3 linked regions of the Neurospora crassa OR74A genome follow. The protein of the gene in region 2 purifies or fractionates together with the protein of the main gene of each other region. This does not show direct contact. Links are inferred from orthologs where the notes say so. Each region holds a gene or a part of one and is shown on either strand. Other genes may lie near its edges.

The links.
Region 1: the proteins of NCU03357 (region 2) and NCU02680 purify together in Saccharomyces cerevisiae (affinity purification with mass spectrometry; 3 studies listed by BioGRID, with this or other methods). This does not show direct contact. The link is inferred for Neurospora crassa OR74A from reciprocal best matches to the Saccharomyces cerevisiae genes UFD2 and NPL4.
Region 3: the proteins of NCU03357 (region 2) and NCU02147 purify together in Saccharomyces cerevisiae (affinity purification with western blotting; 3 studies listed by BioGRID, with this or other methods). This does not show direct contact. The link is inferred for Neurospora crassa OR74A from reciprocal best matches to the Saccharomyces cerevisiae genes UFD2 and VMS1.

The regions. Positions count from the first base shown.
Region 1 is NC_026501.1:3,179,351-3,183,799, forward strand, and holds NCU02680 (nuclear protein localization protein 4), read right to left. Parts: upstream 2,998-4,449; 5' UTR 2,654-2,997; coding exon 2,445-2,653; intron 2,369-2,444; coding exon 892-2,368; intron 837-891; coding exon 725-836; intron 655-724; coding exon 641-654; 3' UTR 583-640; coding exon of another isoform or gene 578-582; 3' UTR 75-577; downstream 1-74. Other genes in the region: NCU02681 (translocation protein), read left to right, coding at 3,527-3,632, 3,703-4,004, 4,078-4,335. UniProt on the Saccharomyces cerevisiae protein: Substrate-recruiting cofactor of the CDC48-NPL4-UFD1 segregase. Assists CDC48 in the dislocation of misfolded, polyubiquitinated ERAD substrates that are subsequently delivered to the proteasome for degradation.
Region 2 is NC_026502.1:987,878-992,194, forward strand, and holds the start of NCU03357 (ubiquitin conjugation factor E4), read right to left. Parts: upstream 2,888-4,317; coding exon 2,133-2,887; intron 2,071-2,132; coding exon 1,857-2,070; intron 1,798-1,856; coding exon 395-1,797; intron 339-394; coding exon 1-338. UniProt on the Saccharomyces cerevisiae protein: E4 ubiquitin chain-elongation enzyme specifically involved in polyubiquitin chain assembly.
Region 3 is NC_026501.1:1,082,686-1,087,076, forward strand, and holds NCU02147 (ankyrin repeat and zinc finger domain-containing protein 1), read left to right. Parts: upstream 1-1,392; 5' UTR 1,393-1,602; coding exon 1,603-3,552; 3' UTR 3,553-3,733; downstream 3,734-4,391. Other genes in the region: NCU16330 (hypothetical protein), read right to left, coding at 41-362, 432-493. UniProt on the Saccharomyces cerevisiae protein: Endonuclease that cleaves polypeptidyl-tRNAs downstream of the ribosome-associated quality control (RQC) pathway to release incompletely synthesized polypeptides for degradation.

The sequences.
Region 1 (4,449 bases), on a different chromosome or scaffold from region 2:
AAAACGTGAGAGAGGAGGAAGGAAAAAAAGAGCCAAAAAGGAATGAAAAATAGAGAAGACTCTCCTCGCGCTGTTGGCAATGGGTGCAAAAGAAAAACAATATGCGCCAGCCGCGAATCGAACGCGGGGCCCATCGATGGCAACGATGGATTTTACCACTAAACCACTGGCGCCTCAATTGTAGATGACATATTGATACAGAAACTATGTTCATGAGCCACAATGCGACATGAGCAGTATCTTCAGCACTGTTAGACTAGGATATCTTTTCCATTACTCAACCCCTTTCGTCTTATTTGATGCCCAGTTCATGTCTATTTTCCATCAAAGCAGCAAAAGTCAACGCCAATGCGTCCATTGTATGTTCTCAATGTGTTTCGCCGAGGTCGGTCCAGAATGAAAGTTTCGCCGCAGATGAAGCTCCAAACCCTGTGTTGCCTTTTGTTGAAGGACCTGATCCCTCAGCTCCGTGCCTTGTGATCAGAGTTGATGGTGACATTATTAAGCCATGCGTATCCTCAGTCCACGTCCATCGAATCCTATTCGGGAGGTGGAGGCGGTGGCGGGCGTTGTTCGTTCAGCCTGACAGCAGCAAAACGCTTAGCAAGTGGTTCATCCGTCGAGTTGTGATTCCTTTGCATCAATGGGTGGTGGCTGAGGTAGGATCTGTCAACCGAGGGAAAACTAGCATCCTCAGTTCTGGGGCGCTTGGGAAGTCTCTCACCAGTGGATTCCAAGATCATGTGCAGGGTCCTCCACCCCTCTGTCGCCCGGAGTTGGAAGGCGTCGGCAAGGTCATGTTGTGTTGCTACGCGGCAAAGGAGTGCCTCCTCATCCTACGAGAAAGAGTCAGTATTCTGTCGGACCCAAGTGGAAATACGGTGAGCTGACCTTGGACAGCACGCTCATCTGCCGGATAAAGCAGAGCAAGTGGAAGTTGCTAACGTCGAATTGGTCGGACTTTTGGTTCACCTTAAGAATCTTTGCTACTGATGAGGCTTCCTGGGCTTCTCCGACAAATTCGCGATTGGCGATAGGGAAGCCGTCATTCGTGAATACCGGCCGGGGACTTTCAGGGAAACCATGGGTCAAGGTGACGAAGAGATACTCGACGGGAAATGCGGGCTTTGCATTCTCTTGGACATTTGCTCCGTACTCGTTGATCTTGCGATAGAACACCTCGGGGATGTATCGCGTCCTGCTGACTGAGCCATCGTCCTCCTCCTCTTCGCGCACCAACATTTGACCGGGGTCCGTGGAAGGTTCGATGATGTCTGCCCTGACCATCTCGACCGCATCGTTCGACATCTGATAGGCCGAGATCGAAATCTCGCCCTGCTCATTGCCAGAGATGACGCAAGTGACAAAGTTGGAGCCGAACCGGCCTGTATCGCTCCACTTGGTAGGCTTTGGGTGCTGTGCCTGGAGCCTCGCCGCAAAGCAGATCTCCTGAGCCGCGAGGAAGTAGGAATCGCTGTGTCTCTTGCAGATGGCACTTCCGTCACCCTTGCCAGCGTCCAGGAGATCCGTCCAGATCACACCCACAGGCTCCAGTCCGCATAGTCTTGCTACTTCGTTGACATCCTTCTCGTTTTCCCACGCGTTGAGAGTAACACCGTCGATCTCGTCAACCTGCGGTGGTTCGTAGATGGCTTCCACGACAGCCTTGACGCCAAGCGGAACAACATCGTATTCGAGATATTTGCCGTAGAGGATACCAAGCCGTTGACATCCCGTCATACGCCAGGGATTGAGGAACTTGTCGATGATCTGGGGCGTCGCGAACTCGACGTGGTCCACCATTCTGAATGGCTGGGGCTGGAGAGTGATGGCGCTGGGCTGGCATTTTGTGCAGATACCTTCGGGCCATTGAGGATGGCCGGATGGACAGTCCCGCTTGACTCTGTAATAGGGTTCGACAAGCGGGGGGATAAACGAAGCCCCAAGCTCGGGCTTGTTTGTCGCAGAGTTGATTTTGCGGAGGTATGCGTGTACTGACATGTACTTGATTTTCTTTTCCTCGAGATACTTTGCGTTAAACGGATCAAGGGGCATGCAGTAATCGCACATACCCTTGGGCCCGTGGCGACACATCTTATGATCGCGCCCCCTTGGGATCTTTCCGTCACGCTTGTCTAGCCGATCGTCCAGAGGCGACTGCCTCACCGTTTCCCACGGGTTCTTGATATGTTCATGCGGAGATGTCAGCGGAGGCGGGTCGATGGGCAAGTCTTCTGCAGGTAGGATCGGTTTGCCGTTGAGGCGGTTCGTGGATGAAAGCACGCTGGATTTGGTGGCTTCGCCGTTGCCTGGGCCGTCGGTCGCCGCATCGTTGTGCTTGTAGGTGACAAAAATAAGATCGCCATGGCTATTTTCAGGTCGCTAGTTAGTGTCTGGCACATAAATCGCAAGATCAGCGCGAGAGTTCCAAGGGGTCAGCTTGCCTGAGCCCAGTCTGGCCGACCTTGAACTTTGCGACCTCGCTGAGATTCTTGGCGTCGCTGCCGGTCGGATGGTTCGAGAATGTAATTGTTTTCGGGTCAACAGTCGGGGGAAGCTTGGGAATGAGTTGACGGCCAAGATCCGCAAAGGTGTCATCTTTCTCCAATGTCAGGCGGAGCATGCCATCGGGACCGCGTACCCTCAACAACATCGTGGGCGGGCTGAAAAAAAGGTGACGTCTGGGCTGTTAAAGGGTCCGACGGATCTGGTCTGTTCCTGTCGTTCGGCGAGTATAATCCGGAATCTGAATTTAAAATGTGTCGTAGGCGTCGGAAGTAGGGCGGTATCTATGAATAAAGCTTCTTGTTGCGCAAAATCTACAAGGTCACGCCAGGTCCTCGGACTCGGGGTAAAGGCACAACTGGTGACGGGATACGGGTGGTGAATTGTTGGTCGGCAGACGGGACCTGATCGAAGGGCGGGGAGCTCCACGCAACGCTGTACGATAGTTTCAGGCGTTCGTCATACGTGTGCCTGGGCGGCGGGAGTGCTGGGGCGTGCTGGGAAGTGCTGAGCAATCGAGGCATGCCTGCTGGGTTTCCAGAAGAGCCAAGAAACTCCCGGTCCCACGTCAGAGAGAGAGCCCAATGCCGGCCCGGCAATGCCCCGCACCCCTCAAAGACTTGGGAGTGACAGAAAGGGGCTGTCGCGGCAGGCATCGATTTCCACTTGCGGCATGGGCCCCTGCCACTCAGATGAAGCCAGCGCGCGCCAAGGGCCGAAATTCCATTGTCAAGCTCCCCCTGCCGCGCTGCACCGTTGCAGTTGTCAAGGTGTTCTTTCCAGGCATGGGCACTGCATTTGATAACCAAGGGAAGCACGATTACATTGCCGTCGGTGTCCATCACTCACACAACCGCAAAAGGCAAACGCATCCATCACCGGGCAACCTTCAGTTGCACGACGACAATCCTCACGCCACCTACCGCCTCTTGGTTCACTCTAGTCGCTCGCTTTCTTCCAGAGTAGAGAATACAGACATCATTTCTCGTCCGTCAATTTGACACACACTCCATCCCGAAACATGTTCAGCGTCGACTGGCGGGGGCTTGTGCTCCCCTTCGCCTATCTGATTGTCCTGACGGGCACCTTCATGACCTTTTCCACAATCTACCGCAAGAGGAAAGCCCGTATGCAACCCCCTACTCAGAAATTTCTATGCTTCTCTGGATAGAAGCCTAACCATGTTGATTCTTCCAGAGCAAAGCGCAAACCTCGCACCATGGTTCGGTCCTCACCTCCAACGCAACGTCTACCTGTCACTCCTCCACATGGAGCCCGAGAACGGATCCGAAAAGGCACCTAAAGTTCCTGAAAGTGTGCTCCGGGCGGCTCTGCTGCGCCGCGCTGTCGAAGACATCCACCGTATTATCCAGATCCGCGCCGCCAAGGCCGCCTGCAGCTCTCTTTTGCAGCGTGGAAGCATCGGCGATGATCTGTGGCAAAGGTTCCAGCGTGCCGAGAAGGAAATGGAGGAAGAGCTTCGTGATGTTGTTATGGAGGTGTGTGTTCCTTTGAAGAGGGTTACCCGTGCGGATGATTGGATGCCAGAAATGCTAATGCCCGATTCTTCAGGCCAACGCACTCGCTCCCAACTGGGGACAGAGCATCTTCCAAACCGCCAACGAGATTGCTGCCAACACTGTGCTGCGCGAGCGCCTTGACGAGATCCAGGCTCAGGCAACACAAGAAAAGGAGTGGTGGGAGAAGCGCAGGGCCACCGTTAGAAGCGAGTTCATGAAGGAACTGGAAGGGGATGAGGCTGGTACTGGTACCCCTGTGGACACCAGCTCAGTCACCTCATCGCCGTCGAACAAGAAGGGCAAGAACTAGAGGTCACGTCCTAGCGAGCGGTGCATGAGAGTGACGTGAGCATCTCGCATAGAGATCTCCGGGGTGGCTGTACAATAAGAAGAGAGGTATGGGAGGGCAGGGCAGTGTGGGGTT
Region 2 (4,317 bases):
GGCTCTTAGGACCGGTGAGGAGGTCAAGGTTGAAATCGAGCATACCGGCCAGGCGGTGAACGATTTCTGGCATGGTGAAGGACTCAGCCAGGGTTTGGGTGAAGAGCTTCATCATGCCGACTGTCTCGTTCGCAAGCTGCATATAGGAACTGGCCTTGTTTTCCGCGTCGTGTAAATCGCTCTCCATCTTTTCGCGATCCTCTTGCGAAAGACTGGGGTCCTTTAGCTTTTGCTGGAAGTCATGGATCTTGGGGAAGTTGCTCAATGCTTCATCCAGAACGTATGTTGCATCGTTCATGAGAAGATTGACAAAACGAACGAAGAAGTCGCGGTCCACCCTAGGTCGAGTTAGTCGGATTCAGCAAAGAGATCGTAGGACAAAACATATACTGACCTGCTGGACTCTGTCAACTGCTTCTTGTAATGGTCATTGGTCCAGACGCACTTGATAACCTGGAAGATCTCAAAACGTATGTTGAACTTTTCGTAGAACGCGGAACTGGTACCATTCGACTCGCACTCAATATAGTACTTCATCACAGCATGTAGCAGGTAGTCATTCGCGAACTTGGTGCCGGTAAGGATGTCGCCAAGAATGCCCTTTTTAAGATGGTATGCCGGCCAGGTGCCCTGATAAAGGAGGGTAACCAGCGACGATTTCAAGTACGGGTTCTTGATGTACTCGGAGGATTCCAGAAACGTTATGCATAGAGCAACGACCTCGTCACCAATGGCCGAGACCATGACCTCTGGCCTATGGCGGAAGGTGAACTTCAAGTTATCAACAATTACCTGCAGAACATACTCGGGAAGACACCTGAAAGCTTCTGGCTGAGTTTCAGGCAGCGGAAGGCTGATTTTCTTCCATGGGACGTAGTCGGACTGACTGGCTACTCGCAGTAGCCACACAATCGTGTACTTCATGAACTGTAGTGACCGCGTTTGCAGCGTCTTGTCGGTCATAATGCCTTCGATGGCAAATTTGGCCGACATGGCGCTCTCCAGCATCTTGATCAGTCTCCTCTGCGCCGCCTCTAGCATAGGTACTCGTTCCGGATGATTGGCGACAATGTTGGGACGGTCAGCCTCCATAAGGGTCAAGTTCTTTTGGAAATGCTTAATTTGCTTGTCAAGTTCCTTTAGCTTGTTTTGGGTGGCTTCGGTGCCATACTGATGTGCCGCCAAAGCGAGGAAGAAGACCTCTGTTATAAAGTTGTTCTCCCCTTCGAGTTTTGTAGAGTAAAACGCGTCCGAGTGCTCTTGGTCAGCGTTGAGCTTGGTCTCTTCCTTGATGTCCAATCTGGGCTTCCGCCTGAAGTAGTCGACCTGAATACGGTCAATCTTGGTAAAGGAGTTATCCATGAAAGGCTTGCATAGATTGTCGAGGACGACAGTGACATTGACCATGAAGCCGTCCGACGAAACGGTCTTGGGGTCGACATAAGTGGCTGTGCGCTTATGGTTGACATTCATGATGTAGGCGAACCAGTCCAGGAGCTTGTTTCTCGAGCTAGTGCTTGCTCGTATGAAGGCATTAGCTATCGTCGTCAAGTGTTCCTGATGGGCAGCCAACGTCATTTGTAACGATTGTTGGGTTGTGCCAATTCGGCCCTTGTCAAGAGTCCTTGGTGCGGCAAAGTCGTAACTGGCCGCCTCTGGGTGTAAGGGCGACAGGCGGAAGAATGGCCCGAGCAGCGTGAACCGTTCAATGTTGGGGGCTGATTGCGCCATAAGGAAAGTAGGGTGTTCCGCCAAAGCGTTCACGAGAGCCGGATATCTCGAGTATGTGAAGAGGGCCTGTGAGGTTCCAACGTCAACGCTCAGCACAATTCGTTCAAGTCGCTTGTCAAACTCACCTGGACGTGCGGCTGATAATCGCCGTTCATGTTTTTGGTAGACAGCGCTGTGCTGATTTCCACCATGGCCTTGGTGAAGAGAGGTACAATGCTATCGTCGTCCTCGATCCGTGTCATGGCCTCGTTGTAAAACTCGATGTCGAGGCCTTCTTCCTTCGCAACACCTTCCAAAATGTAGGGGACTATGGTATCGTGCTTTGGGTTTGGTTCTCGACTTTTCAAATTTGGATCATGTCAGCTAGAGCAAACTGTAAAGAGGACACGGGGGATAAATACCCAAACATCTCGGGCATAGTAACGGCGAAGATGCAGTTCGAGAAGCACAAGCGCTTGGCCTCCTTGAGGGCTTCTTCCTTCTCAGGAGTCGACGCCCTCAATATCCTATATCTGGTGACCCGCTTCCAGCATGCCAGGAAGTATTCGAATAGGGGCTTGTGCGGCGGATAGATCCTTCCGGCCTCCATAACGGCCTCTTGAAATCGGTCGATCGACAGCAAGGGCTCCTGATACTCGCCCCGAATTTCCTGGCTGAGTTCTGGCAGAAAGGTCAAGTTATGGCCACTGCTATCGAAGGTCTGGTTCGGATCGAGAGACACGCGAAGGATGCTGGTGAGTAGCTTGTCGGTCCATTCCTCGAGCGTCTGTTCCCTGTATTGCTTTCGCGGTGCTGGTGGGCATGGAATATCATCAATATTTGAAAGGGATCTTTCTCTCTTTCGGGAAGCGGAACTACCTGGTGGTGGCTCTGGCACATCTCGTGACGCCGGCTTGATTATCGACCTTGGCTGAACTCGCGGTGCCTTGTCTTCGATCTTTGACGAACTCGCCGCCGCCGCCGCCGCCGCCACAGCAGCAGCAGCGGGAGGGGTTTCGGTGCCAGGCTGAGGCGTGGAAGAGGACGCAGCTGGCGATGTAGTAGAAGCGACATTGGGGCCACCGAGCTTAGCCAGTCGTCGGGCACGGATCTGCTCCATCGTCTCTTTATCAGGCGCATCCGGCGTGGCCGCCGGCTGTTGCTGATTCGGATCCATCTTGTCGTCGTCGTTGGGCGAAGAGGAAAGGGATTAAGGATGTACGGATATTGTGATTATCGTGACGGAGAGAGCCTAAGGAGAAGAAGGGCTCAAGCTGGCGGTGACGACGTAAAGCTGGATGTGCGTTGGGAGGTTGAGGCGAAGGATGAGGAGAAGGAGGATGGAGGTGACTGTCCGAAGCTGGAGGTTGTCTTCGGCTGCGGGTGCTCAAGGTTGGTACTTCGCTCTTGAGCTAACCACAGTAGTATGTGATAGTGCGGGTGCCAAAGTTAGGTAGTAATAAGGAATGACTCTAGCATACTCTAGCGGAAAGCCCTCGGATAGTGATCAGGAGGAAGTAGCAATTCCCATGCACCTTTTGCGCTGACAAGATTACGTTGACATCTGTGAATGTGACGTGGAGCCTGCCTGCCCCGAACAAGCCTACTGCATGGAGCTCCTGGAGTTCACAGGTTGGCGGGGTATTTCGGGACGTTACTTACATTTAGTGCTTTTGGCGGGACATGATTTACTGCACTGTAGGCAATACTGGTTCGATTGTTAGCTCCCGCGGGTCTTTGGATCAACTTCCCGTCCCTATAGCTACCTCTTAGACTATGCGTTTTCAGACTGGGAATATGCTTCCATTTCTCCAAAATGAAAGAGAACGAATTGGATCTTGTTCATGCCTTTCATTCAGTCCTTGTACGGTTTGGGACAATTCGGAAGACGGGAGATCTCGTCCAGTGTACCAGGAGTACCTCTAGGTACCAAGCTAACAAACAAACCAGCACCATTGTACTACATATGTAGTCTACCATAAGGGGTACTTCTATGTAGAGGTAACCTCGCAACCTAATGAAGCAGAAACGGGCTGAATGACAAGAAGATGATAACTAATTCTTCGTTGGCGTTTTTCATGGAAGGACCCTAGAATCACTAGTATAACGCTGGATGTGACAGTGACTTTCCTTCGCCGTAAATGCGGAATGCAGCTGTCATTGTTCAACTCATCTACATGAATAGGTAAGAAGATTACGGGGAGCCAACAAAGTCAAAGCATTCTAGATACTTTGAAAGCCGTCTTGTCCAAAACACCATGGGAAACAGACCTAGACCATGTAGCCGTTCTTTCAGTTGCTATTAGCTCTTTCAAGCGTGCCAAATTCCAACACAGAGGTTTGATTCGTCTCCTATATTCTTTGGTCTATAGGCTATCTAAGCTTTAGACCAAGGCCCGACGTTGCAATAAGACAACCTCCAAGTGCTTTCCCGATCCATCCCAAACGCCAACATACAAAACCTATGCATACCCGTTCTTCTCCTTCAGACCATTATGGTATGTTTCCAAAACCAACAGACACTGTTACTTCCGTTCGGGACGGCTCAGACACTGAGGCACAGCAGCAGAAATATATGACCCCAGTGTCTGCCCCAGGAAGGCGAAC
Region 3 (4,391 bases), on a different chromosome or scaffold from region 2:
GAAAAAAAAAAAAAGAAAGAAAGGTTCAGAAAAAACTCACAGTAACTCCCAGATTCCCCCAAGTCATGGCATTCCACCCGCTCACATCCATCGTCCCCTCCCATCGCAGGGCCTCCGCCGTGATCATCATGTGCCCCAGATCCGCTACCCACAAAGCAATCAGGTAGTTTTTGACGACTCTGATCTCGGAAGAAGAGTACAGCACGCCTACCCCGACAAGAAAGGCGAGGAAATACATGTTACCTAGTTGGCGGGTGGTGGTGCGGCTGGCGGTGGGATAGGCGATTAGAGGTGAAGAGGAGGAGAGTTGTTCGTGGGTGAACCAATCGGGGGAGAGGATGGCGGGGAGAAAGCCGGATAGTCTGCGTGGGGAGGTGTTAGTGTTTCTATCTGAGAGTGAAATGTGATGAGAAGGAGCGAAGTATGCATACAGTGAGAGAGGTTCGAATTTGGTAAAGACAAAGCGTGGGAAAGGGGGTAGTTGGGAGGCCATTTTGTTTATTTTAGGGAAGGGGGGAATGTGTACGGGTGACGGTGAGTGAGGATGAATAAACAATGCAACAAGCTACACAGGGCCACGCGAGGTAATGCTTTCTGGAAGTGAAGAAAATGTAAGATGAGAGAGGTGTCGTGATGTAGTCCGACGCTTAATGTCTATTCTCGTGGTGTCAATGTTTCGCGGACAACAAAACTATCCGTCGCCTCGTCCCCTTGCTGTTGTCCATCAGGGTCCTCCTCTTTTTGATTGTTGTTCAGGGTAGGCAGCATCCAAGCGAGAAGACGAGTGGAACAACTGCACTTGGCATTTCTTGGATCCAGTCGCTCTAGATTGTATTCTTCCTTTTTGGAACCGGAACCTACCATATTATTTGATCCGCTCTTGTACGTTCTTCACTTGCATCGCGCTGAAACAGGCGTCGTATGCATTGCACATATCGAAGTCCGTTTACCATGCGGCATCAATTTACCGGTAGTGCGTTGAAAAATGCTCGAGACTGAGACGCAGCGTCCGATGAATCTCAAGGAGACAAGAATTAGGTCGACAAGCCGGTCAGGGTTAGGGCTCAGCCGGACAACAAATGAAAGGTACCTCGCGGCTCGCAGTACATATACTTGTGTCGACCCCGTTGGGCAACGCCTTGAAAAAATTTCTCTTCTTTTCCAAATATTTTCGGATTTTCATGAGAGAGCCCACAAAGAGCAAGACAGTTACAAACAGTATCGCTTTGGTTACTGGAGCTTGTGGCGGTGCGCTAGGGTCAAACTGTGACTTCGATCGGATCGGTAGAGGTACGTCACCCGAGATGACTCTTATCGGCCAACGATGTCTAGCGCGATAAAGAATGCCCCACTGATGCTTGCCAGGGAACTTCACAGTTGACGTCTCATAGCTTTCAAGCCCGTCACGGCCAACATCAACATCAACATTAGCATCGAACGGTGACCCGACAATTTGCAAACAAGGTTTATAACAGAGAGGCGCCCCATTCTCAACCACTCGCCGTTACAAAAACTTTTTGCTTCCACTCATCACCAGAAGCAGCCATCGTTCCCTCTCCCAGACGCCAGTAACGCTCACCTTTCCTCATCACATTCGACAATATGGCCAGCAAACAGGAAGACCTCCAGCGGAGGCCCGTCTATCTATACGACATCGACGCCGACATCCTGAACACGGTCGCCCTCAAGTCAGATGCGGACATTACAGCCGAGCCAGTCAACGAAACCGCCAAGCAGACAATCGATACCACAGCATCTGAGCCCACCGCATCGGGGTCGCAAGCCAGCTGTTCACTATGCAGCCTCAAGTTCGACAACGTCCAGGAACAACGAAGTCACTTGAAGACCGATTTTCACCATTACAACCTGAAACAGAAACTCAACGGTCTTTCCCCAGTAACCGAGGCCAAGTTTGAGGAGCTCGTCAACAATCTCGACGAAAGCATTTCAGGTTCCGACTCTTCAGACAGCGAGGATGAAGAAGAGGGGCAGGACAAGGATACGAATATGTTATCTGCCCTCCTGAAGAAGCAGGCCAACATTGTAGAAAAGATGACAAAGGAGGGTGGCGATGATGGTGAGAATGACGGGGAAAAAGTGAAGTCGTCAAACGGGTCGCAACCATTGCTCTGGTTCAGCTCCCCGAAGTTACCCGAGAACTCTTATTATGGCGTCTACAAAGCCATGTTCACCCCAGAAGAGCTGAAGAAGGAGGACGCTATTATGGATGCTATCAAGTCCAGGCAACTGGCACCCATCACCATGGGCAAACCGCCAAAGGACGCCAACGATATCCCACCAAATTACACTGGCAAGCACATCTTCATGTGCATGATTGGCGGTGGACACTTTGCCGCTATGGTTGTCTCGCTAAACCCACGGAAGACGAAGCATGGAACAACCGGACCCCTCAACAAGGAAGCCGTCGTCCTAGTGCACAAGACCTTCCACAGATACACCACTCGTCGCAAGCAGGGTGGTTCGCAATCCGCCAACGACAACGCCAAAGGCGCCGCCCACTCAGCCGGTGCTAACCTTCGTCGGTACAACGAGCAGGCTCTCGTCGAGGATGTTCGCGGGCTGTTGGCCGAATGGAAGGGACTTATCGACACATCCGATCTGCTCTTCATCCGCGCCACCGGCTTAACCAACAGGAGGACATTGTTCGGCCCTTACGACGGACAGGTCCTGCGGGCGAACGACCCCCGCATTCGTGGTTTCCCATTTATGACCCGGAGAGCTACCCAGAACGAGCTGATGCGCGCCTTCATCGAGCTTACCAGGCTGAAAGTACGACAGATCGTCCCCGAGGCAGCCGCTCCGACTACCGAGTCACCGAAGAGACCGAAGAGCCCTAAGCCGGCTGCGGCTTCGAAACCAAAACTTTCAGAAGAAGAGGAGACGCTCCTTTTGCACACCCAACAGATCCAGGCCCTGGTCAAGCGCTCAAAGGTGCCCGCCCTTCTATCCTACCTCAGCACAAACGACATCTCCCTCAAGGAATTCCGCTTTTTCCCAGCAGACCACCACACTCCAACGCCGCTTCACCTGGCCGCATCCCAAAACTCGGCGCCGCTTGTGACCGGTCTCCTCACCCGCGCCGGCGCGGACCCTACCATCCCTAACGGCGACGGTAGGACTGCCTTCGAGCTTGCTGGCGACCGCGCCACCCGCGACGCTTTCCGCGTTGCCCGCTCGGAGCTTGGTGAGGAAGCATGGGATTGGGAAGCCGCCGGGGTCCCCGTCGCGCTATCGCGGGACGAGGCATTGAAGAGGACGGAGAGGGAAAAGAATGAAGCGAAAGAGAAGGAGGATCAGAGAAGGAAGGCTGAGGAGGAGAGGCTGAAAAAGGAGGGACCAAAGGTTGATGCGACGAAGAATGGGAAGAAGGCTGGTGGCAGTGTGTTGGCGGCTGCGATGAAGCTGACGCCGCAGGAACGAAGGGAAGAGGAGGCGAAGGGGTTGACGCCAGAAATGAAGATGAGGCTGGAGAGGGAGAGGAGAGCGAGGGCGGCGGAGGAGAGGATTAGGCGGCTGCAAGGTGGGCAGTAAGTCTAACGTGTGAAGCTGGTGCTAGAGGGGGTGGGTAAGATGAGGGAAAATGTCATGGACACTTTACGATTGCATCTAGGGTATACCAATGTCAAAGCGTTGCCAACGTATGACTCAGTTTGAGGTGAATGGAATTGACTCCCTCTGCCCATCATTATCGGCAACCTTTGGTCAACCAATGAATAATTGATCATGAGCAATTAATTGGGCATGATTCATGGAACAGGTGAGCAAGCCATGCTATTTTAGGGCGATTTCGGCTTATATATAAGATGGGTCCCCAGCCTAAACGTATCTCAGGGTAAGAAGTAGGGCATTGGGGATGGTCTCAATCATCATTGAAGCAAAAAATGAACATCATGTCTATATTTCGCCCTTACAAGACTACTCCTACAACGACAAGCATGAAACTAAAAACAATGCGAAATCTTCCTGGTCTTAAACTATCTGGTGTAAGCTAAACATTGCCTTCATAGTTTATTTTCTTCGAAATATTGCGAGCGAACAACACATCAACAGATCGAAGATTACCTATTTTCATTTAACCGAACGTCTGCTCTGTTAGTATTCGACTTGTGTCGCTAATATTTCGAGAAGAGTCCCTTAAGTCTGGATAGATGACGGGAAGATATACTCCTATCAAGGTTCCGATCATCAGGTATAGCCATATTTTACAAAGCGTTGAGTGTCAGTTCTCGCCGTTCTTGGGTTCGCTCTTGTTTTTGCGAATTTACTTCATTGAAGCGTATCTGATGCATCACGATGGCTAAAAGCACGTTTCCTGACCTGACTGATCCAAAATCACTGGGATACCCAATTCTCAAGGATGCAACTGATGA